3 linked regions of the Drosophila melanogaster genome follow. The protein of the gene in region 1 interacts with the protein of each later gene in a pairwise test. Each region holds a gene or a part of one and is shown in the gene's direction. Other genes may lie near its edges.

What was found. Proteins that work in one complex are often made in the same cells at the same time.
Region 2: the proteins of CG11349 (region 1) and Spase25 interact in a two-hybrid assay, tested with the Drosophila melanogaster proteins (one large-scale study listed by BioGRID).
Region 3: the proteins of CG11349 (region 1) and CG6845 interact in a two-hybrid assay, tested with the Drosophila melanogaster proteins (one large-scale study listed by BioGRID).

The regions. Positions count from the first base shown.
Region 1 is NT_037436.4:4,468,831-4,477,034, forward strand, and holds CG11349 (uncharacterized protein), read left to right. Parts: upstream 1-4,237; 5' UTR 4,238-4,246; coding exon 4,247-4,249; intron 4,250-4,307; coding exon 4,308-6,194; 3' UTR 6,195-6,265; downstream 6,266-8,204. Other genes in the region: CG32249 (uncharacterized protein), read left to right, coding at 1,177-1,179, 1,241-1,966; CG32248 (uncharacterized protein), read left to right, coding at 2,935-2,937, 3,009-3,554.
Region 2 is NC_004354.4:11,481,481-11,489,249, forward strand, and holds Spase25 (spase 25-subunit), read left to right. Parts: upstream 1-3,769; 5' UTR 3,770-3,912; coding exon 3,913-3,951; intron 3,952-4,080; coding exon 4,081-4,641; 3' UTR 4,642-5,086; downstream 5,087-7,769. Other genes in the region: Cyp4g15 (cytochrome P450 4g15), read left to right, coding at 45-733, 830-1,121, 1,218-1,381; Uba5 (Ubiquitin-like activating enzyme 5), read left to right, coding at 2,174-2,454, 2,566-3,499; CG33235 (uncharacterized protein), read right to left, coding at 5,289-7,769. UniProt on the Drosophila melanogaster protein: Component of the signal peptidase complex (SPC) which catalyzes the cleavage of N-terminal signal sequences from nascent proteins as they are translocated into the lumen of the endoplasmic reticulum.
Region 3 is NT_037436.4:142,546-151,739, forward strand, and holds CG6845 (uncharacterized protein), read left to right. Parts: upstream 1-3,887; 5' UTR 3,888-3,958; coding exon 3,959-4,161; intron 4,162-4,226; coding exon 4,227-4,537; exon of another isoform or gene 4,538-4,592; coding exon 4,593-4,853; intron 4,854-4,907; coding exon 4,908-5,121; exon of another isoform or gene 5,122-5,184; coding exon 5,185-5,338; intron 5,339-5,390; coding exon 5,391-5,868; intron 5,869-5,916; coding exon 5,917-6,100; intron 6,101-6,158; coding exon 6,159-6,296; intron 6,297-6,349; coding exon 6,350-6,425; 3' UTR 6,426-6,511; downstream 6,512-9,194. Other genes in the region: Pdk1 (Phosphoinositide-dependent kinase 1), read left to right, coding at 1-334, 398-672, 970-1,275; Dic61B (dynein intermediate chain at 61B), read right to left, coding at 7,263-7,473, 7,539-7,751, 7,804-9,194.

The DNA.
Region 1 (8,204 bases):
AAGCAAATAATTTTGAAAACTCTTTATCAATCCCAGCATAATGTCAAACATTAATCTTCAAGGGGGCGAGATAATGTGGGGAATCAATTAGCGGCCAAGCAACGGAAGCCAAGTTAACACAGCCAACCAGCTACAGGCCAATATATACTGGATGTTTGGCAACTTTTGGCACGAACAAAACGAAACCGCAAGCCAGCACAACACACAAAAGCTAAAGTTCATTAAGAATACAACAAAATTTCTTTCTGGCTGTATAAATCTGCATTAAGAGCACATAAATTCCAAAAATTATTTAACATCGTCTTTGAACCGACCGTTGTGGCTTACATTCGTGGTTCGTGTCCCGGCTTACTCTGTTACGGCAACAGAACACAGTTCTTTAACAGTGGCGATACAGACAATTGAGCAGAACACGAACTAGTAAAAAAAAACCCGTATTATAGCTCTTACTGTCTGAAATAAGTGGGTATACTAGGTTAGATGAACAGTACGTAACACTAGAAGTCTGCTCAATGAAATATGTACGCTCTTAATTAGGAGGACTAGGACCAGGGCAGAATCTGACTGTGCTAAGGAACGTCAAAATGTGTTAATAGTATTTTGTTTAGGTCAGCAATAACAATAATAATAAAAATTTAGTTCGTACCCATTACTCGGGCACTGAACCGGTATGGGAATACGTATGAATCATCTATCCAAAACAGTACTATGACCATACATCGAAACAAACTGAATCCCTAATCCAATTATCCCTTAGATGGAATCTTTATGCGTTTATTAGAAACTCAAATTAATAAAAATACGCATTTCAAATTGCGTCTTATTAATTAACTCATAGTATTGCAGAAAAGTGAAAGTATTTACCAAACCAGATTTATGGACTTGGCGAGCTACTTTTATTTAAATATTTTAACTCAAATTGATGCGAGCAATTGTTTTATGGCTGACATGGAACCTGCGTCTGGACTACTGCTTTTATTTATGGTTCGCAGTCGTAACCGCATTTCGCCAGACGACTGCAATCAGAATGACAATACCGATACATATGCAAAAGATATACCAGCTGAATGTTATTAGATATACTATATATTTGGGGTTCTGCCCAAATTGTCTTATAAATACCAAATGTTCTGCTCGCAAAAAAACAGTTTAATTGTTCGACTTTGTGTGATCAACATGGTGGGTTTCAATCGGATTGGATTTAATAATTGTGAGATTAATGGAAAATTTTTCTGCCCAGCGTGTCCTCTTCTTGCCTTTCGCAGTGGCTCTCTTGGGAGTGGTCGGTGCCACTTCTCTATCCAGGACCTATTTGCCGCCTCAGGTGCAGGTGGTGCAACCCCAGGTGATCTCTGTTCCCAGGGTTCAAGTTCAACCCCAGATCATCGAGCGTCAGGTGGTTCCCGCCCCTCTGGTGGTGCCACAAGTGGTTCCCGTTTATCGTCCGTCGCCAGTGGTGCAGATAGCTCGTCCTGCTCCCCAAGTGATCTCCGTGGCTGCGCCTCGTAACACCTATCTGCCACCCCAAGTGATTAGTCGCCCCGCTCCACAGGTGGTGTCCATTGCGCGTCCCGCTCCACAGGTGGTGTCCATTGCGCGTCCCGCTCCGCAGGTGGTGTCCATTGCTCGTCCTGCTCCACAGGTGGTGTCCATTGCTCGTCCTGCTCCACAGGTGGTGTCCATTGCTCGTCCCGCTCCAGAGGTGGTGTCCATTGCGCGTCCTGCTCCAGAGGTAGTGTCCATTGCGCGTCCCGCTCCGCAGGTGGTGTCCATTGCTCGTCCTGCTCCACAGGTGGTGTCCATTGCTCGTCCTGCTCCACAGGTGGTGTCCATTGTTCGTCCTGCTCCACAGGTGGTGTCCATTGCTCGTCCTGCTCCGCAAGTGATCTCGGTGGCTGCTCCGCGCAATACCTACCTGCCGCCACAAGTCATCGCTCCTCGTAACACCTACCTGCCGCCCCAGTAAGATGCCTCATCATCCGAAACAACATTTCTGAGCAACCACCAACTCAACTGGTTTGTGGTTTAACCCACAACACCAACTATATTCGAATGCTAATTCACCATCTTGGCAAAGAAATGCAAAAATACATTTAATAGGTTTATTTGTGTGTCTGACTTGATACGATTAGCATATTCTCGAATTAGCGCAAAAGAGACAATAAAGAAAGCTCAGAAAGATAAACAATAACATTGTTTAGACTCGAGACCATTGGAGGGCGTCAATACAGATCAGATAACGTGATTATGCAAAAAAGGGCACCATATGCCATTAACCCCAAGAGGAAATGTTTAAGATACCTAATACCTTGGGAGTCGCGATCTTGAGGCTTCTCTGAACAATTAATCAATCAGTCCATCAATCGAGTTAGCGGAACATTAAGTCATTAGCCTGAGCAATTTGTTTGCTTTAAGTGGATAAGGTATACGGCTGACTAGATAGTTTATGACCGGCTAATTGCTATACTTCTTGTTCTGGATCGATTTAAAAATAGCTCTCTGCTACTGTTTCTATTAACCCAATATCGGGTTTAGTCTTAGCAAAAGCTTGGGTGAATTAAAAAAGCTCTTCTTCAAGACGAAACCAAACTATCAGGTTTGCGATAAAATTGTTTTGGCAAAAAAATTAAGCTGTGATACGTGTATTCTTATGAATATTTATATTTAATATGACAGCAAAAAAATGAGAGTTTTAAATCCAAACTCCATGGCGTACCTAACTGATAAAAACAAGCCCCATATGGCGTCGTGGTCGAGGTATCTGTTTGCCCAATTAAACAAATTTTTCGACGCGAAGAAAAACGTTTCGTTGATTTATGATACTCAGCACTTCCGTTTGGATCCGCAGATTCTCCGACTTGTATAAAAGTACAGGAGTCGCCGGTCTAAGATATTATTCGGTTCGTTGCTCCTAAAGCAAACAGATCATCTAAAATGGTAAGGATCTCCCATCTGTATTGCGGATTATATTAGTTGGCATATTATTCTATTTCGATTTTTCCCTGTAGAAATTCTTTATCTTGACCTTGGCCGTGGTTGGCTGTGTGGCCGCCGAATCTGGCTACAACTACAATGCTCCCCGCCAGGTAGCCGCCTCTGCCCCGGCTCCTGTTTTCCAGCAAGCTGCCTCTGCTCCGGCTCCAGTGAGGACCTACGTGCCCCCAGCTCCAGCTGCCTCTGCCCCAGTGCAGTCGTTTGCCCCTGCCCCAGCTCCAGTAGCTGCTCCTGCTCCCGTTTTCCAGCAGGCCGCCTCTGCACCCGCACCAGCCCGCACATACGTGCCTCCCGCTCCCCATGTCCACCACCATGCCGCCGCCTCAGCTCCAGCTCCCGTTCAGTCCTTTGCTCCTGCTCCAGCTCCCGCCCCCGCCCCCGTGCAGTCCTTCGCCTCTGCTCCAGCTCCTGCTTTCGAGTCCTCCGGACCGGTGTTCGAGGCCGCAGCTTCCGCCCCCTCTGCCGCCCGCTCCGGATACGATTATAGCCAGCCCGCCGCCAGCCAGCAGGGATACAAGTACAAGACCGTCCGTCGCCGTGTGTTCAAGCACCGCGCTTAAACGATGATGATGATACGATAAAATGCGACAATAAAAAACTCGAATATTAAATTTATAAAAACATAGTTTTATTTGAGCATTAAAACACTAATAAAGATAATATGATAATTTGATAATTAAACAAGAATGATATGGTGTATAGTTTTAGCAAAAGAAGCGCGCAAAAAAAAAAACTATAAAACCTAAAACAACATTTCAAAAGTGCTAAAATTCTTGCTAGAAAAGAAAAAAAAAATCGCAAAATTAAATTTTATTAATAATTGTTAGTTAGTACTGGAGTGCAGTTTTTCTTATCCATAACTAACAATCAGTTGTTAATGATAAATTAGTTTGAAGCTTCAATTGTATTACTAGGCCAAATTCACACCTGGAAACGAAGTTCAAAGAACCCATGCGTTATCGCATAAGTGTGCAGCGCACTTGGGCCAATAAATTTAAACGCTTTGATCTGACAAATTTACGGGACACTTTCGTTGTGCTTCAGAATATTCAATAGAATTTAAATTGGCGGCTATTCAATAAGAACAAATGGGTCACATAAAGCGCGGAATCGATTTCTCACGCTCGGCAACAGGTTTCGCTTTCAACTGTGGTCTTTTTTGGGGGCTCGATGTGGGGATGCAACAAAAAAGATCCCGAAGAGAGTATATAAGTTGCATCTACAGCTGCTTACAGTCACTGGCACTTTAGCAATGGTAACGGATCAACGATAGGTTCTAGGTTCCGCATTTCACCAATCCATTTTTATTTTAGAATGTCCTCGTGATCCTGGTTCTATGCCTTATGGCAATCGCATGTCTGGCGGACGTTTCCCATGTGAAACACCACAAGCACCAGCGGCATCATCACTCCAGGGATCACGAAGATGACGATGAGGAGTCCCATTACCTACCTCCCCACGAGGAAAAGGAGGTGGAGCAACCTTTTTACAAGAAGGAGAAGCACACCAGTGAAAAGGTGGTTTACCACAAGGTAGAGGAGCACGAGGAGCCCAAATACTACAAGGAGCATCAACATGAAGAGCCCAAAAAGCAGCGAGTGGATCACTACCATCACTATGACAAGAAGCCAGAAGTAAAGACCCAGCACATTCACTACAAGCATAGCAAGCCCCATGTCCGTACGGATTACAATCAGGACTTGTTCACCCCAGCTGCTACCCAAGTGGTTTATCGCCGCCGTCGTCCTAGTCGAATTCTATACGCCAGTGCCCCCAACTCGGTGTTCCACACCCACACGCAGATCAACGTGCAGTCCCAGGATTCGGAATTGAATTCCCTTACTCGCCCAGATCGTGCAGCAGGAGCACAGGATCCTGCTGGGGCTCAAGCACCGACTGGAGCCCAGGCACCAGGATTTCGACCCAACTGCCAGTTTGTTGGACCTGGAAACGTACCACCTGGCTGTGGACCCTCTGATCCCATAGGTGCTCAGCTACCAGCCAGTGCTTTGGCTCCCACTGGTGCTAATCTTCCGGCCAATCAACCTGTTGCCGGCGGACAATTGGCTGTTCTGGGTAACGGTCAGCGACCTCCACGTCCAGGTGGCTATGGAGGTGGATATGGCAACCGACTCAACTTTTTTGTTGATCCTTCGCTGGGCGCTCAGCTGGGAGCCATAGGTAATGCTGGAGCTGGAAATCAACAGGCTGCCGGAGGAGGTCAGCTTGCGGGAGGAGCTCAACTTGGAGGGAGCCAAGGATTCGACCCTTCCTTTGGTGCCCAAGCAGCTGCCGGAGGACCATTTAACACTGGTTTTGGAGCTGGTCAAAGACCTCAAAGACCTGCGCAAAACCAATATGATCCCAACCTTCAGCTAGGTGGCCCTTTTGACCCCTCCGTGGGTGCTCAATTGGGCGCAGGTCAGGGTGTTTCTAACCAAAGACCAAGTGGACAGGGAGCATTTGATCCTTCTACAGGTGCTCAATTGGGCGCAGGTGAGGGTGTTTCTAACCAAAGACCAAGTGGACAGGGAGCATTTGATCCTTCTACGGGTGCTCAATTGGGTGCAGGTCAGGGCTTTAACCAGAGACCAAGTGCACAGGGAGCATTTGATCCTTCGACAGGTGCCCAACTTGGAGCTGGACAAGGCGTGCCTAACCAGCGACCCAATGCAGCTGGACCAGGAGCTTTTGATCCCAATCAGCGACAGTCCGACCCCTCCATTGGAGCCCAATTGGCAGCGGGACAAGTACCACGCCTCAACAACCGACGACAGCGCAATCGATCCAACTACCAGGGTCTCAATGTGCTGAATGGAAACGTTTTCGGACAACCCCATCTCCAGGGACCCACAAATGCGCTGGGAAATCAACAGGACACCAACATCATAGACGGCAACTTCTACAGCGATCCTCATCATGGACACCAGCGGGCTTTGGTATCGGTTAATCCTAATCAGCGTTCAGTCCTTATACCCGATGACGATGATGCGGACGATGATGGGCAGCTAGGATTTCTGGGCTTTGCGGCTAGTAACAAGCAGTCCTCTTATGTGGTTGCTCCCAAACAACTGCGATCTCATAGGCGCAGTTCAAAGCGAAACAATGTGGATCTTAAAACATCTGCTTCGGAGTACGACACTGACTATCGTGAGGATGGCTATCACTACCAGAAGCCCAAACAGTCATTCGAGTTTTAAGTATTTTAAAACAGAACATATTATAACATAAATTAAATCATACTTATCAGCATTTGCTACAAGAGCATACCAAACAAACCTTGATTACTTATTTAAAGCATACTTTCAGGCGAAAACTATGGCGGCTACTTCCGTTTCCGCTCAAGGTAGCTTTAAAGTTTGTTGAGAAATCGACACGGGTTTTCAAGCTGAGCTTTATAAATTGAGCTTTTGATTAAGCTTTACACCAGACTACAAATATCTATATTGCACATAAAAATATCCAGATATTTACCAACTATGTATATTTGATTTTTTTGTTTGCCTTTAAATTACATACATTAACATAAATATACACGTGCAAATAGATTAGGGCATTTATGTTCTGGCCATATCTGCGATTGCCTTTGATGGAAAAGGTGTATATATTGTCCATTAGGGTACGCGGAAAGGAAACTAGTTCAGAGCTATATAGAAATAGAGGCACAAAGACATTTTTTTTATAGTGAGAGAGGCAAAATGAATTGTCGACATAAATTTATGCAATCATTTAGATTCGATTCTCATGCAAATCCAATCAACTGAAATCAAAATAGAAATAAAACAAAATCTATTGTTTCACCAGGCAGCATATCTTGGCCAGTCGACTGCATAGAGGTGAGCTGCCCAAAACACATTCATTGGATCCGTTTTTGGCCCACCTCATTTGTGACCTATGGATAAAAGGCTGCGTGTATGTTATGTTTTTGTTATGATTATTTTTTACTCAGACTGAGGCGGGCCTTAGTAATGTTTAAATTCGGCAATCAATGTCAATATTAGCGAGTGGACTCCTAAATCAAATGTGGGCAGTCCACTGCCGGCATGTGCGTCTGTTTTTTGGCCAACTGTAGGTCAGAGAGGATTAGCCTTAGCCCATCTCGTCGGCTCGTGACCCAATGCACCGACCCATAGAAACCTATTAGCTGATCCCCATAAATCAGCGCACTTCTCCTGGTGAAATTGGCAAGCTTAAGAGAGTCAAATGACCGCAGCAGGGCCTTCAAAAAAATGTCTACAAGTAGCATTAAATTAAAATAATTTATGGCAAACTTTCGGATCAAACTCTACGGAGGAGCTCGGCTCGGCATAAAATTAACGGAGACCGTTAAAAGCCCGCTGATTACAGAAATAAATTTCGGATGATGTCTGTGCGAATTTCGCGGGCTTGTGGCTATGCAAAGCGAGTGAGTGGGTTCAAAGTGGGGCTGCTGGAGTTCAATGATCCGGTGCCACCCGCCTCTTTGGCAATTATTGCTATCAAACATTATGAACCATAATTTTTAGGCTTTCCCGAAGCACTGCGCAAAATCAGAACTGAGAATTTTCAGAACAGTATTAATTTTTCAATTTAAATTGTTCTACTAAATAAGAATCGAACAATTTTAATCACTAAGGCAGTGAAATATAATTCAATTAATCAATTAATTTAATTATAATCAAAAGTCATTTATGTATGAAATATATCGAATGTACTCTGATTTCTTTAGGTGTATTTATTATTTAATGACTTTCCAGATGGCCAACATAGAGCTACAACTCTGTACTGAAAGGGTTCTGAGTTTCGGGATCATAACTAATCCGATCTCATGTAACTCCGCCTTGCGTCATCCGTTAAACATAGCCTAAAAAAATCGACGAGCATTCGATGCTCGGATGATTAATTTTCAGCACTTGGCAGCCACATAATTAATTTTAGACAGCCCACAACCGAGAATACATATTCAAGAACGATCGCACTTTATTTTCTATCAGCCATCAAACAGAAAGCCCCTCGATGAGCCGCAGGCAGCCCCAAAATAAGAATCGAATTAGAATCAGAATCAGAATTACATGAAAGGAACTTGCCAAATTTCGGCTGCCACGCGTTTCCATTATTTATTGGCCACGAGCCGAGTGTTAAAAGTGTGCGGAATTTTATTTTTCATCTTTTTTGTTGCCCTGTTGCTTGGCGTTGATTTTTGTATATTTATAATTTAGCTCTTTTCGGAT
Region 2 (7,769 bases), on another chromosome or scaffold:
TATAAATACACACCTTTCTGGGTGCTACATTTTGGCAATTCCAGAGACTGCGATGGGTGTGTCGAAGAAAACGCAGGACAAATCGGGATTCGAGTATGCGATGGCCGTGATGCGGATGTGCGACATCCTTCACGCCCGCCATCGGAGCATCTTTCTGCGCAACGAGTTCGTGTTCACCCTGACGCGCTACTACAAGGAGCAGGGTCGCCTGCTGAACATCATCCACGGCCTGACCACCAAGGTGATCCGCAGCAAGAAGGCGGCCTTTGAGCAGGGCACCCGTGGATCCCTTGCCCAGTGCGAGCTGAAGGCAGCCGCCTTAGAGCGGGAACGGGAACAGAATGGTGGTGTTGACCAGACCCCATCAACAGCTGGCAGCGATGAGAAGGATCGGGAGAAGGATAAGGAGAAGGCCAGTCCGGTGGCGGGACTGTCCTATGGACAGTCGGCTGGTCTCAAGGATGACCTGGATGTGGAGGACAATGATATTGGTGAGAAGAAGCGGCTGGCCTTCCTTGATTTGATGCTCGAAAGTGCACAGAATGGAGCACTCATTACGGACACGGAAATTAAGGAGCAGGTGGACACGATCATGTTCGAGGGACACGACACCACGGCAGCCGGCTCCTCGTTCTTTCTCTCGCTGATGGGCATCCACCAGGACATCCAGGATCGCGTACTGGCCGAACTCGACTCCATTTTTGGCGACTCCCAGCGACCGGCCACATTTCAGGTGGGTAACTAATGCCGCACACATCACCATAGTTAGTTAGTTATATTCTTGAATGTTGAACGTTAACCGCTTAAAATGTCCGCATTCCGATTGCAGGACACACTGGAGATGAAGTATCTGGAGCGGTGTCTGATGGAGACGCTGCGCATGTACCCACCCGTTCCATTGATCGCCCGCGAGCTGCAGGAGGATCTCAAGCTGAACTCGGGCAACTACGTGATTCCCAGGGGCGCCACGGTGACGGTGGCCACCGTCCTGCTCCATCGCAATCCGAAGGTCTACGCCAATCCCAACGTCTTCGATCCGGACAACTTCCTGCCGGAGCGCCAGGCCAATCGCCACTACTACGCCTTTGTGCCGTTCTCTGCGGGACCACGCAGCTGTGTGGGTGAGTTGCAGATATAACACTGAAGCAAATTATGTGAATATTCGGATCGTCTATATGAATAATGTTTTGTTTCATTTATTATAATTATTTTTTTAGGGCGCAAGTATGCGATGCTCAAGCTGAAGATCCTACTGTCGACCATTTTGCGGAACTACCGTGTCTACTCGGACCTGACCGAATCGGACTTCAAACTGCAGGCGGACATCATCCTAAAGCGTGAGGAGGGATTCCGCGTGCGCCTCCAGCCGCGGACCAGTTGAACCCCGGTGGCCGCGACGAACATCAGCTAGGCGAACCAGGTGGACCAGGTGGAGCGGGTGGGGCAGGCGGAACAGGCGGGCAGCACACCATACACCGTACACCGCAAACAATAAGCTACACAGAACGGACACTTATCCATACATATAACTCCACTTGTTGGCAAGTGATAGTCACCGGTTTATACAGTAATATTGATAATATTAAATAATAATAAACGTGCTCCCACACTCGATTTATTGAATAGTATAATGATTATTTTTTTGACGCATTTAACACAAAAAGCAACCACAACTATCGTCATCTTCCTTTAATTGTTCTACTCCTCTTTTTTTTTTTTGGTTATTTAATAATTATAATACCTATTTGTGTGTAATGATTTTGACAATAAATCTTTTGTGTAATTATACAAATGGATTTTAGTGGGAAATTTAAATGTTTTCATACAGCAAATGGAGTTGACAGCCATTTGGTTGCTGTTATTACTCGTCTTCTATTTTATGCGTCTTAAAATTCAAATATGCGCGCCATTCGTAGCATTAACCAACACTGTACCAGCTGGCAATGTAAATTGGTATATTTTTGGTATATAACTATCGACCCTCGGCCATCACTAACATGCAGCGTTGCCCCATCCCATCTAACGCAAGTACCAAACTAATTTGGCCATCTGGCAGCACTGGTCAAAAGTGACACGGCGACAACCAGCTTAAAAGCGAAAGTTAACAATTAACAATTGCTGGCGTCCATAGCCAAACACACGAGCCAGAAACTGGAGCCACCCCAAAGCCAGAATGTCGCACGCCATCGACGAACTGCAGGCGATCATCGCCGATCTGAAGACGGAGCTGGAGACGGAGCCGAAATCCAGTGGCGGCGTCGCTAGCAACAGCCGCCTGGCACGCGATCGCATCGATCGCATGTCCGCCGAGGTGGTGGACTCCAATCCGTACAGCCGCCTGATGGCCCTGCAGCGGATGAACATCGTCAAGGACTACGAGCGCATTCGCTACAAGGCGGTGGCCATTGTGGGCGTGGGCGGCGTGGGAAGCGTCACCGCCGACATGCTTACACGGTGCGTGCACAACAAGAAGAGAAGGGCAACAGTCATTGTGCACCACAGCTAGCACTCCAAATATGTTGTCTTTAATTAAAGGCTATGTATTAATCAATTGATTTCCTGCAGCTGCGGCATTGGCAAACTGATACTCTTCGACTACGACAAAGTGGAGCTGGCCAACATGAACAGACTGTTCTTTACGCCCGATCAGGCGGGCCTCTCCAAAGTTGCGGCCGCCGCCGCTACCCTGAGCTTTATCAATCCGGACGTGGAGATTGAGACGCACAACTACAATATTACAACGGTGGAGAACTTTGATCGCTTCCTGGACACAATATCGCAGGGCGGACGGATAGCTGGCCAGCCGGTGGATCTGGTGCTCAGCTGTGTGGACAATTTTGAGGCACGAATGGCAATCAATGCAGCGTGCAATGAACGCAATCTCAACTGGTTTGAGTCGGGAGTTTCGGAAAATGCCGTCTCGGGGCACATTCAGTTTATCCGTCCTGGCGATACCGCCTGTTTCGCTTGTGCACCACCCTTGGTGGTGGCCGAGAACATCGACGAGAAGACGCTGAAGAGAGAGGGCGTGTGCGCCGCTTCATTGCCCACAACTATGGGCATTACGGCTGGCTTCCTTGTCCAGAACGCATTAAAGTATCTGCTGAATTTCGGCGAGGTCTCTGACTATCTGGGCTACAATGCCCTTAGCGACTTCTTTCCCAAGATGACGCTCAAACCGAATCCGCAGTGCGATGACAGAAACTGTTTAGTTCGGCAAAAAGAGTTCCAAGCCAGGCCCAAACCTGTGCTGATCGAAGAGAAGGCAGTCAGCGAAGAGCCGCTGCATGCCACCAACGAATGGGGCATCGAACTGGTCGCCGAGGATGCGCCAGAAAGTAATACAACGCCCGCCGAAACCCCAGTGATGGGTGAAGGGCTGAGGCTCGCCTACGAGGCTCCTGAGAAGTCCAGCGAAACGTCAGAGGAAACTGTATCTGCAGCTACCGCGGACGAAACCAGTCTGGAAGACCTGATGGCGCAAATGAAGTCCATGTAAATTGATTCCGTACTCCGTATTTATAGACACTTTTTGTAAAACACACACTTTTTTTTTGATAAACTCAGCTTCGATTTGTGTAAAACTTGGGCCGAGCCATTTTTTATTTATTTATATATAGTAACTTTTAGTCACTTGATTAAATGCTTTATGCTCAAAATTATTTGAATTACGCGGGAAATTTCAATTCTTGCAGTTTCTAGTATTTCAGTATTTTAAGCTTCCCCTATCTGGCAGCACGGTCAACTAGTCCGTTATCGATTGGCAGCGATAACGATTGACAATTTTGTTGTCGCGTTGTCACACAAAAACGAAGAAAACTCCTGAAAAAAGAAAAAAGAGTTTTTCTGAGCATTTCGCAAACTTCTCTTGGAAATCAAGGGCATCAAAACACAATAGAGAGCAGATAGAAGATGGGCAAGAAGGATGAAAAGTCACAGCAAGGCGAGGAGGTGAGTAAACCGGTTGCCGGCTTGGCATTTGGTCCATTAAGATGTGTTCCACGTCATTGTAGAATGTAAATGTAAACTAAGTGAATATGTGCATAAACTAACTCCATCCTGTTTCATGTGCCCTGCCAGCTGGTGAAGGTCAACAAGTGGGATGGATCCGCAGTGAAGCACGCCCTCGATGATGCAGTGAAAACCTGCCTCCTTGGCGATCGTCCCCAGCTGAAGGAGCAATTCGGCCTGGTCAACACCCGTTTGGCCCTCTGCGCCCTCGCCGTTTCCGTGGCTATAATGGCCCATGCTTGGGACTTCACCCACCCCTTCCCGGAATCCCGTCCAGTGCTCCTCTTCAGTGTTTTGGCCTACTTTGCACTCCTCGGCATTCTGACCCTGCACTCCAGTTTCCGCGAGAAGGGCACCTTTGCGGTGGCCCTGCAGAAGGACAAGGAGCGGGAGCGCCTGTGGGAGGCCAGCTCCGATATGCGCAAGTACGACGACAAGTACCTGCTGACCCTCAGTGTTCGCGACACGAAAAATGGCAAGCGGCGCGAGCAGAGCAGCAACAAGTCGTGCGCCGCCTTCATCGATCAGAATGGCATCGTCCTGGACAACCTGGTGGCCAACGAGGTCAACCGTCTGTTCAACGCCTTAGCTGCCGACAAGAAGAACGCTAGCAGCCTTTCTTCTAATTAAACCAAATTCCCCACTTTTGTCTCATTAAATTGTACACTTTTGTGGTAAGCCGACTGTTTGTCTTTTGTAATAAGCGGAAAAACTATAATATAAAATGAATTCTTTGATTTACAGCTTAACATAAATTGTCTGAATCTGATAGAAACTTAACCAATGATTTGTGGACTATTTTATTATAATTTCATGGGTTCAGCTGCAAAAATCTAAAAGTTAAGAGGGCGGGGATTCCGGTGGCGGCAGAGGAAGAGGAGAGGGTGCCCAAACTGGAACTGGCGGCGATGGGGAAACCCATATTGCGCTGATAAGGCCATTGATATTAATTCCATATTTAACCTGGCTGCCTTCCCAGAAGTTAAACATCAAAATTGGGAGTTGTCGATGTCAAAACGTTTATATATATATATCAATGTTTTTATATTCCAAAAGCTCATATTTGTGACATACTAAAGATTTTGGCTACAAGAGAGTAATGTACGTAATGTAAAGTCTATATGTACGACTAACTCATGTGTTTTTAAAAGATTATTCTATTTGTTATTATATTTATTCACAATGTGGAGATGTCCCAATCCAAGTGTACCCAGAAATCCGAGTGTTTTTGACCTTCTTCCTGCGGCGCTCCGGCTTCCTTTGTCATCATCATCTTTTTATTTTTTCAGATATCTGTATGGGGCACTACGGTTCCTTTTCCCATTTCCCATTACCATCTTCTCTTTAATTTCTACATATTTCTTATGTCTTTCCAAAGCCTCAATTTCTGACATCTTCTGGGCCATTTTCTTTTTCATAATCATCTGCTTTTCTAACACCTTTGCTGCCATTGTATCCTTGGCCGTCTTTAGAGCCTCCAATTTTCCCTTAGCAATCTTTAGTGTCTTCCCGCATTGCCGGTCCTTCGACTTCTTTTTTTGCACTTTCCCCTTGGCCATCTTCGGCTTTTGCAAGTTTAGCTTTTCCTCTTTCTTATTTTTCTCAAGGACTTGCTTTGATGTCTTTCGCCATTCATCAATTTTCTCCTTTTCCATTTCCTTCCTTTCCATCTCCTCTACCATGTCCAGCTGCTCCTGCGTCTCCAGCAGCTCCTTCACCACTTTGCTCTCATCTTCCTGTGGCGACACTTCGGCTAGGGTAGGGTTAGCCACCTCTGCTTTGGTTTTCTTTTTCTCTAAAAACTTACGAGCCCATTCCTTTCCTCCATAAGGATAGTCATTATCCTTTTTATCTGCCAGAACAGGAGCCCATGGCTTCGGCGTGGTAGGACCGACAGCCTCGGTGTGGGCACGTTTTGATGGAGAGACCATGTCATTCATCAATGTTAACTTTCTTTTTGAGCTTGGAATCTTTATCTCATCTTTGCAGAGATTGGCATCACCGCTGGTATCACTGCTGTCCGAGCCTAGAATTATTAATTCATCTTTGTTGCTATTGACAACTAAGCGCTGGGCACCGAATCTGTTGCCTTGATTACGCTGGCTTAGCAAATTGTCCACATCCACTTCCTCCAGGACGCTCTTATTATTGGAGTTACGATTCACTGGCTCCGGCAAGGAGGCCCCGATATGAGATTTCTTTTCCTCTCCGGGTGGAATAATGTCCTTCGTCAAAGTGAAATTCCTTTTCGAGCTTGGAATCATTTTCTCATCTTTGCTACCTTGATTACGCTGGCCTTGCAAATCCAGGACACTCTTATTATTGGAATTACGATTCACTGGCTCCGGCAAGGAGGCCCCGATATGAGATTTCTTTCCCTCTCCGGGTGGAATAATGTCCTTCGTCAAAAAGAAATTCCTCTTAGAGCTTGGAATCATTTTCTCCTCTTTGCTGGTATCACTGGTGTCCGAGCTTAGAATTGTTAATTCATCTTTGTTGCTATTGACGCCTTGATTACGTTGGCCTAGCAAATCCAGGACGCTCTTATTATTGGAATTACGACCCACTGGCTCTGGCAAGGTGGCGCCGAAAGGAGATTTCTTCCCCTCTCCGGGTGGAATAATGTCCTTCGTCAAAGTGAAATTCCTTTTCGAGCTTGGAATCATTTTCTCATCTTTGCTACCTTGATTACGCTGGCCTTGCAAATCCAGGACACTCTTATTATTGGAATTACGATTCACTGGCTCCGGCAAGGAGGCCCCGATATGAGATTTCTTTCCCTCTCCGGGTGGAATATTGTCCTTCGTCAAAAAGAAATTCCTCTTAGAGCTTGGAATCATTTTCTCCTCTTTGCTGGTATCACTGGTGTCCGAGCTTAGAATTGTTAATTCATCTTTGTTGCTATTGACGCCTTGATTACGTTGGCCTAGCAAATCCAGGACGCTCTTATTATTGGAATTACGACCCACTGGCTCTGGCAAGGTGGCGCCGAAAGGAGATTTCTTCCCCTCTCCGGGTGGAATAATGTCCTTCGTCAAAGTGAAATTCCTTTTCGAGCTTGGAATCATTTTCTCATCTTTGCTACCTTGATTACGCTGGCCTTGCAAATCCAGGACACTCTTATTATTGGAATTACGATTCACTGGCTCCGGCAAGGAGGCCCCGATATGAGATTTCTTTCCCTCTCCGGGTGGAATATTGTCCTTCGTCAAAAAGAAATTCCTCTTAGAGCTTGGAATCATTTTCTCCTCTTTGCTGGTATCACTGGTGTCCGAGCTTAGAATTGTTAATTCATCTTTGTTGCTATTGACGCCTTGATTACGTTGGCCTAGCAAATCCAGGACACTCTTACTATTGGAATTACGATTCACTGGCTCCGGCAAGGAGGCCCCGATATGAGACTTCTTTCCCTCTCCGGGTGGAATAATGTCCTTCGTCAAAGTGAAATTCCTTTTCGAGCTTGGAATCATTTTCTCATCTTTGCTACCTTGATTACGCTGGCCTTGCAAATCCAGGACACTCTTATTATTGGAAGTACGATCCACTGGCTCCGGCAAGGAGGCCCCGATATGAGATTTCTTTCCCTCTCCGGGTGGAATATTGTCCTTCGTCAAAAAGAAATTCCTCTTAGAGCTTGGAATCATTTTCTCCTCTTTGCTGGTATCACTGGTGTCCGAGCTTAGAATTGTTAATTCATCTTTGTTGCTATTGACGCCTTGATTACGTTGGCCTAGCAAATCCAGGACACTCTTACTATT
Region 3 (9,194 bases), 4.3 Mb from region 1:
TTTGATAAGGACGCCGAGGACCTGGTGCGCAAGCTGCTCCGTGTCGATCCGCGAGACCGCCTGGGTGCTCAGGACGAGTTTGGATATTACGAATCCATTCGGGCGCACCCATTCTTCGCCGGCATTGACTGGCAGACGCTCCGTCAACAAACCCCTCCCCCCATCTACCCATACTTACCGGGCGTAAGTCAGGATGAGGACTTCAGGTCCAGCTATACTGTGCCCGGGGATTTGGAGCCTGGCCTTGACGAACGGCAGATATCGCGACTGCTTAGTGCAGAATTAGGCGTTGGCAGCAGCGTGGCCATGCCCGTCAAGCGATCGACCGCAAAGAGTAAGTGTCCACGTGGTGCCCCAGAAAAATACGTTGGCTAATGAATGTATTGTTTTTCTTCAGACTCTTTCGACCTGAACGATGCCGAGAAGCTGCAGCGTCTCGAGCAACAAAAGACTGACAAGTGGCACGTTTTTGCCGACGGCGAAGTGATCCTCAAGAAGGGGTTTGTCAACAAGCGCAAGGGTCTGTTTGCCCGCAAGCGAATGCTCCTTCTGACCACGGGACCGCGACTCATCTATATCGATCCCGTGCAGATGATCAAAAAAGGAGAAATTCCGTGGAGCCCAGATCTCCGAGCGGAGTACAAAAACTTCAAAATTTTTTTTGTCCATACGGTAAGTGTTTACCTATGGTGGGATAAGGATGCACGAGGCGCAACTCGGAAAACCGAGAAAGCATAAGTTTGTTGAACCGATGACATCACAGCTTATAGTTCGTAGCCAGTCACACGCCTACTGAAAAGCAATTTGAGCGTTAGTTTATGTCCCGGGCACGTGTTGGCTATGAAAGCAAATTAAATGCGGCATTGAAAACTGCACACGCAAGGCAGATAAAAACTCAAACTTGTTTGGTGAATGGGTTTAAAATTAGCGTTGCGCTCAACTAATTTTACTCTTTTGGTTTCATTGCAGCCAAATCGAACCTATTACCTGGATGATCCCGAAGGCTATGCTATCCACTGGTCGGAAGCTATTGAGAACATGCGCAAGTTGGCCTACGGAGATCCCTCCTCCACATCTGCAGTGTCCTGCTCCAGCGGCAGCAGTAATAGCCTGGCTGTCATCTCAAATTCATCCGCCGCCTCCTCAAGCAATTCGCCCACGGTGAAACGCAGTTCCCCCGTAAACGCTCCTCAAGCTTCGACGGCGTCTGACAACCGGACATTGGGTAGCACCAGAACGGGGACGTCACCTAGCAAGAAGACGGCGTCTAAGTAAACGTAGTCCTATTTATAGCAATGTGAAATTAATTTAGTTGAAATTTAGTGCAAACGAAGCGATGGCGTAGAAGAGGGCGGGAATAGAAGTAAGCTTAGAAGTAGAAGTAAGTGATGAAGGGGAAATAATGATCGTGTCTCTAGTGCTAATTAGAACCAAATTTCTGTTTTCCGATTTGTATTGTGCTTAGGGCGAAAATATAACACTAGAATAAACTTATCTAAAGTAAAATACATCTATAACGACTAAGTAAATTCAATTTAAAATTTAAATTAAATATTTATATACAGCATACATAAATACAAATATATTCGTATTTAGCGCGTAGTTAGTCGCAATTGAAATGAATTACACACGGAGGCAAGGTGGCATTGTAGGCTTAAATTAAAAGTAATTTCGTGAAGCAAACTAAAATCCGTATTTAAATGGTATAATACTAGGAAATTATCTGGAAACTGTAATATACATAATATGTGTATGTACGTCGGAGAAATAATTTTTGTTTCTGTTATCGTGGGAAGATCACATATATGTTAATATAAATTTTGTAAACAGTGTAACTATGTACAGAACTATGTGAGCTATATGCACACGGCAAAAAGACCCTAAGTCGTGGGGAAGGAGATGGGAATGAGCCGGAAAACCATCGATGTCACAAAATCGGTGTTTTTCCAGCTTCACGCTCAACTGTTTAGGTAATTCTAATATACAGTTTAACGCTAATTATCATTATTTATCATTCTCATTATGCTTTTCGTTTACCTATTTGCCCTATAATGAAATGTATAAGACTTGAGCTACCCTAATAAAAGAACGAATTTTAAATTATATTTTTATTTTGTAAGGGCTACCACTAAAAACTCAACAGTCGTTCAAAGATTGTCAAGATTGGCGGTCGTTGTCTCTCCAACTGACTCCAATTGAATGTGTGTAAAACAAGTCTTATACAAAGATATATGTAATAGATGTAAGACAGACTGCAAAGTTTCTTGAAACAAATTAGTTAAATGTTGTAAATGTCTAAGTTGCTACCACTGCTACTACTAGAACGCGCCCATCCCCTCCCATATTTACCTTTAAGCTACAGTAATTAAGTGATGAGCAGAGGTGTAGAGTAAGGAGTCGAAGTTGAAAGAAAGCAAAAAATACATTTTGTACATACATATCGCCGTTGGTCGATATACATCTAAACATAATTTAATTTTTTGTTACTTTTAAGTAAATTATTTTTGGCGACCTAAGTAAATTAAAATTAACGCAATATGCAACAACACACATAAGTATACAATTAATTAAATTAAACGAAAATTACGATTTATTAAACGATGTCATAGAACGGAGAGCCACTGATAGTGAGAGAAATCTGTAAAATAAATATTTAAACAAATTATATATTATCTATATATGAGTACCAGAACAAGAATGTCAAAAAAGAGAAGCATGTAAAAATAAAAAATATATTACGAGTAAAACAAAAAAAGATAATCGAGCGAAAGGAACGTATCATTAACAGGAAAAATTAAAGAAAAATACAAAAACATTTCAAAGTAACAAAATTACGATAAAATTTGTTTTTATTTTGGTTCGTTTGGTTATTACAATTGGCAATATCTAACTGATTGGGTAATAAGTGCGCGTATCCCAGTATCCAACGTTGCAAAATGATACAACATTTCAATAGGTTTCAAAATCTACGTAAGATACACATAAAACGACCTGACTACTTTGTTCTACCCTACGCTTGTGCTGCAGTACCTAAAATCGAAGAAAGAGTACAGTGAACAGGGCTAAGATATAGAAAGACAGCTCTATTTCTGCAATCCAAAAAGGGCTTGCCCTAATTAAAATAATTGCAAATGCATTGCGCTTCAAATCCAGAAGCCTTTTTTACCTTTTATAGCCTACAGGAAAAAAGAAAAAAGAGGAGATAACGGAAAGACCCATAAAATCGAAAAGTGCATAGGTAAACCTGTAGGACGATTAGTGGAATACTAAAATCATCATATGTTTTAATCAATAAGTATTCCAATTTTACCAGGGGCAAGTGTATGCGAATTCTTTCAGTACGAGTATTTAATATATTTATTTTTATCATAATTGTATAAAAACCTGAAGCTCCAAAATAACTTGATCATTTTGAGAAAAATATTAATAAAAATTATTTTTTTGTTTATTTTCTTATTATTTAGTTACATATAATTTTATTTTATGTTTATGTTTTTATAATTTTTATTTTATTATTCATTATATTATAATAAATAGATTCGTTGAATAGTATTAATATTGGATTTGAATGCAGCGATGCGTTTTACGCATTTCAAATCCGAAACTCGCTTAGATCACACGACGTAACTTTATAAGATATATAAATCAAAAATAACTGTTATTTTGAAAGAGAAAAAATGATGTTGTTTGAAATAAAGGAACAAAAAAGCGAAAAACAGAAAAAGCAATCGGTTAAGTTTTAAATTCTTTTTGGGCGCCAAAAATGAATCGGATAAGCCAAAAACAACAAACAATAGGCTTTTCGATTTTAAGAAGGGTCACATTTCCGATAACAATGAAAACTCACATTTAAATTGGTCACACTAAGTGGGGCGCCAAGAGAAAATATCGATATCGATTCCGACTGTTGTGTTAGACTTTACAAATAAATTACAAAGAAATCGATCAAAATAAAATCATGGAAGAAAGTCAGCCAAGGTATGGCGCTATGTGGACATTCAAGCTGGTGGCACCATACGTAATTGGCGGCTACCTATGCGGCCTCGCGGTAACGCTCGCATGGAACTGGTGGCAGCTGGGCCACTTGGTTCTGGGTCTTAATCTCACCTTCGCGATTCCGGTGGCGCTTGTTCTGGCGGTCTTTTACAGCAGGCCCGTAAGGTAAGAACTACCTGAAAAAGCCCAAAACGATTTGTGTCTAACAGTGTTCCCTCACTGGCTGCCAGGTGCATTGTGACTTTGGCCCTTCCCTCGCTGTGCAGCTCTCGGGGAAGGGCGTTCCTCATCAGCCTTGCCTTTGTTATTGCCGCAGTTGGGCCTACGGCGAACATTCTAGCCAATTTGAAGGTGATGCTCCGCAGCCTCGCTTGCGGACAGGAGCTATTGCGTCAGGCGCTTGGCCAGATGTTGGACGTAATACTGGAGCCGGTGAATGCCATCCAGCTAGCGGTGGATCTCTTGATGCGGGAAGTGCGTCGGGTGCTCAAGCTGGCCATGGTAGTGCTGTTACGCATTCAGGACCAATTGATCGCAATTAGTGAGTATCTGTATTAAAAAGTGCTGCAGTTTTCTCTGCTGATTCATTTTTGTAGTTAAAACCCTGAAGAACTGCGCCGCTTGGCTGAAATCCATCGTAGACCTGTGCAACACAGAAATGGGCACTCCCTGGGCACGTTGCAAAAAGACGGCGCATCACGCAATGATCAGGTGCCAGTCAAAGATGGGCGTATTCAAGGCGCTATGCCATGCTGCAAAGCTGTTTCTGGCCCTCTGCTATCCAGCCAAGATCATCGATGTGTTTTGCAGCGGTTACTGGGATCTCAGCTGGGGTCTTCTTGATAAAATCGCAGAACGTGAGAGTGTAAACAACGATCGGTACTTTGGTTATTAGTTATACGATCTCGCAGGCTACCGTGAATTTGTGCGGCACATCGAGGAAATGTTTGATGCCAATATCACTTTTGAGCACGAATTTTTCTTCGATACAAACTCTTCAAAGAGCCTGACGGACGTGGGGGAGGAAATTTTACAGGATATTAACAAGCGTCTGTCGTCGTTTATCTTCTTGAGCAGCTTTGTGGACATTCTCTGCTGGGTCATGGTGGTTACTGTATTTTTTAAGTAGGCAAGAGCTTAATCATCTTATTAATTTAGTGTTGGTGATGCCTCAATTGTTCCCATCAGAGCCACCATCTTCTACCTTCGATATATGCACAGCCGGCAATTTCAGAATGTGTTCTTGACAAAGATACTAAGTGATATCGACCGGCGGCACGAAAAGCACGGTTACGATCCACTGCTACCCCTTCATCAGCTTGAAAGGGCAAAGTATATGAAGGTAAGGTTTCCCTACGTTTCCCTGACATAATATTACAATGATTTCATTGCAGCTTACTAGCTTGCGTTTGACTTTGTTTGAGTTCGTGTCCATTGTTGAGAACGCCTGTTTCATGGCCACAACCTGCTTGCAGTTGTTTGCGATTTGCTTTCTGGATTACGGGCTGTTCTGGCTGTTGGCAACTATATCCCTCCATGGCCACCAAGAGACTGGGCTGGAGGTGCCCGCTTACGTCGATCTAGAGATTAAGGGTGGGGGCTTTGTGGCGGATGTCATGCGGGGAATCGCTAATGCCTTTCGACCCTTGACGCAAAAAAGCATTTTAGACGTGAATCCTTGCCTCCCGCTGCCCGTGAAACCTGATTATGCGGAGTATCTAATTATATTATTACTCTGTCTGCTCGCTTGGCTGATCCTTTTGGCCGAGCCGTATATTTTGCGTACTCGCCATCTTATAATGGCCCACTTTTATCCAAAACGCGCCAAGGAAAGAGGCATGTTTCTGTACAACATGATTTCCGAAGATAGAAGTAAGAAAGTACATACCTTTTAAAGTTGTTCTAATGTATTCTCTCCAGCAAGCATTTTTAAGTTTATCCGCCGCAGAAAGCGTAATGAGTTTAACCACACACGGAATGTGAAGCACACCAGAAACTACACTTGGCTGAACAATAGATTCTCCTGTTTAATGTGCATGTGCTCCTGCTGCTCATCCTGTCAAAGCACTGAGAGGTGCACCATATGTGGCCGATCTCTGACTCTGTAAGTAACTCCAATCGTTAAACACACTCCGGGTTACAGTTGGATGTCCCCTTTTTAGTTCAAATCGTAACCCCTGCGACACTCCTGGATGCAAAGGGGTTTATTGCGGTAAATGCTTTGAAAAGTCACACAATAAGTGTTGTCTGTGCAATCGACCAGTGGATTATGGTGATTTTTCCGACGTTACTGAAGTAGAGTGAGTAAAAACCAGGGTTTAATCGACTATTCTTAATGGTTTTGTTTGTGCAGCGACTCTTCGGACTATTCTGAAAAAGAGTCTTTTAGCGAAAGGCAGTACAGGAAGACCTGTGGAGGACAACGCTAGCAACGAGGGAAAAACAGTTAAACATAGAGGTTGTGAGCGCATACACGTTATGCAGATAGCTCAGAAATATAATATTTCCACCTATTAAATACCTGATATTCCAACAATTTAATATATGGTTATAGGTGAGTTATTCAATAAAAATAACTCTTGTTATTGCTGATCTGATGTCAGTGCAATTCCTACCCTTCACCGCCCATGGAAGTCGCAATACGGGGACTGCGTTGTTTGGCGAGCTTCTGGGCTGAAATTATTATTTAATTAAATACTACAGCGACAAATGGCTACACAGCAATTCAGAAAATAACCTTGTTCTCACCCCTGTTTTCGATTTTTTCTTTTTTATCAAAGGCTTGTTTGCTTGATACCTATTTTTATTTCTTCTTGGGCTATGACTGTAACGTGCTGTTGAACATCTTCTCATTATTGTTGACTTTCTCTTTACGACTGTTTAATAAATTCTGCTCTTCCCCCACATGCGGCTTCCATTTACCAAGCTTATACGAGCATTTATTATATAACACCCGTCGACTTGCACCGATCCCTCTAGACCCTATATCGACCCCTATCCACTTGACCACCATCGTTGACAGTCAACCACACACACTCGAAAAACAATGGAGCTCATCTTTTCGAACGGATTTTTGTGCTTGTGCAAGGTAATGCCCGGTCCGTTCGGATGATATCAAGTTACTATTGGGTAGTTTTGTTTGACACTCGATCGATCGCCGTTGTGTCTCTTAGATAGCTGATGCGTGAACATTTCATCAGTGCCATCCAGATTCGCTTTCAGGCCGACGAATTATTTTGTTTTATTGAGAATACCATTTTTCCTATCTAAAAAACTGCTTTTTTGTTTGGGTACCCAAAGAAACCAATGCTTTTAAGCTCCATAAGAAGCTCGTGGTCGTTGCCAATTGCCTTGAAAATGGCTTTCTCTAACTCGTCGTATTGGAAGTGTGGCGAAAAGGGCATGTCGTTCAGGGCGTTGAAGAGCGTGTTCCCGCGCTCGTTGCCAATAACCAATGTGCGACCACAGTGGGAAAACCTAAGAATTGGTAAAGGAAATTCCTATTCAATTGGCCATTTTTGCGGAAAGCAATAAAAGCTTACCTGGCCACAGTATTAAAAGAAGAGTCCATCTTGTGCTTGGACATGGGTCTTAGCAAATTTCGGCGAAAGTCCCAGACGTTAGCGGTTTCCCGGTTCACCGTCACAATAATCGTAGAGTGGGTGGGGCTCCACTTGGCCCAATGCACTGGGGTCATCTCGTCTAGCAGTTCGAGAAGAGGTCGCGTGATGCCATCGACCCAAATGCGTACGAACCTGCAGAATAGATACTATCTTTAGCTACCCTTGATAGAGGGCCACTTCCTACCAATCGTTGCCGCAGGTGAGGAAGAGTTTGGGAGACCAAGGCGAGAACTCCATTACGGTGACACCCCCGTCGTGACAACGCAGGACTTCCAAGTACTGATGCTGATAATTGATTGAGCACTTGTGGATGCAGCCCTCATCTGTCAGCACGTAGTAAATGTCCTTGTGCAGAGGATGTGTAGTGATGCTTAAGCCTTGCGGGTGGCGGTTAGACTCGCAGGGGATACGCGACGATGGGTGAACGAAAATGCCCTCAGGATGCCCCTCGACTCGCTCCAGAATCATTTGGGTAAAACCAAGCAGGAAGGGACTTTTGATAATCCGGAAGCGGGTGACCGAGCCATCCTGGGAGAGGCTCAGGAATGGATCGATGTCTGTTTCATGATCGTCGTCTGAAACTTGTTTGATCCAGCGGATGGCAACCACCGGCGAGGAGCCTGGCGAAGTGCTGCGCTGCGAGACCGCAACGGGTGTGTCCTGCAAACTGCTCACATCTCGCACTTCCACGCTGCCGTCGTACAGACCAATGGCGAGCAAGGATGGCAAGAATGGCGAGAAGTTTATTGCCGTTACTGGCACATCGTAGTAGTATGCGCGCTCCGGCTCGCCTGGATTTTTAATGCTCCACAGGAAAACGCTGCCGGAGGTCGGTACGTGCTGTGAGGAAAATGAGTACAGTCCGTAGGCTACAGCCAGGATGTCACCATTGCTGCGGCAGAAATCAATGTCGCTTACGGCCTTGCGCTCGTCTTTGCTGGGCTCCGGTACCAGCCGAAAGAGCAAGTTCATCGAGTAGACGTACTCGGCCTCCGCGTTCCAGCGTTCCACCTGGTCAAAGTTACGGAAGCGTCGTAACCCCGCCTCGTTTGTGTTGCTCGAGAGCGTGCGGCCCATGTACATGATGGCGTTGCGAAACTCGGGGCTCCGGAACAGGCGCTCTATCTGGCTGCTGACCTTGTCTTTTTCGGCAACGGCCTCGTCGTCCTCAAAGGTATCCGCATCCTCCGTCTGCGCTAGAGCCGAGGTCAGGTCCTTTACCGAACTCATAGTGGCTGTTGCGAACTCCTTGGTGATATTGTTCAGCGTGTCGTACATCTCAAAGTTGGAAACGTAAGAGCTGACGGTGGCCTTGGTTATGAGGATGGTGTTGACTGCCCGAGTGGTGAAGAGCAGAGTATCTGTCTGAGCGTCATTGTCTGAGCGCCGGCGAATTTTGCCTTTCCCTATTGTCAGATACTCGTAGTTTCGGTTGTCTCGCTCCGCATCGTCGCCCTCGGGCGATCCCTTGGCCACCGTCGTCTGCGTCTGGCTGTGAATTTCGAAGAAGTCAGACTTGCGTAAGGTGATCTTTAAAAAGGACTTGGTATACGGCTTTGGCTCGTACGCCTCTTC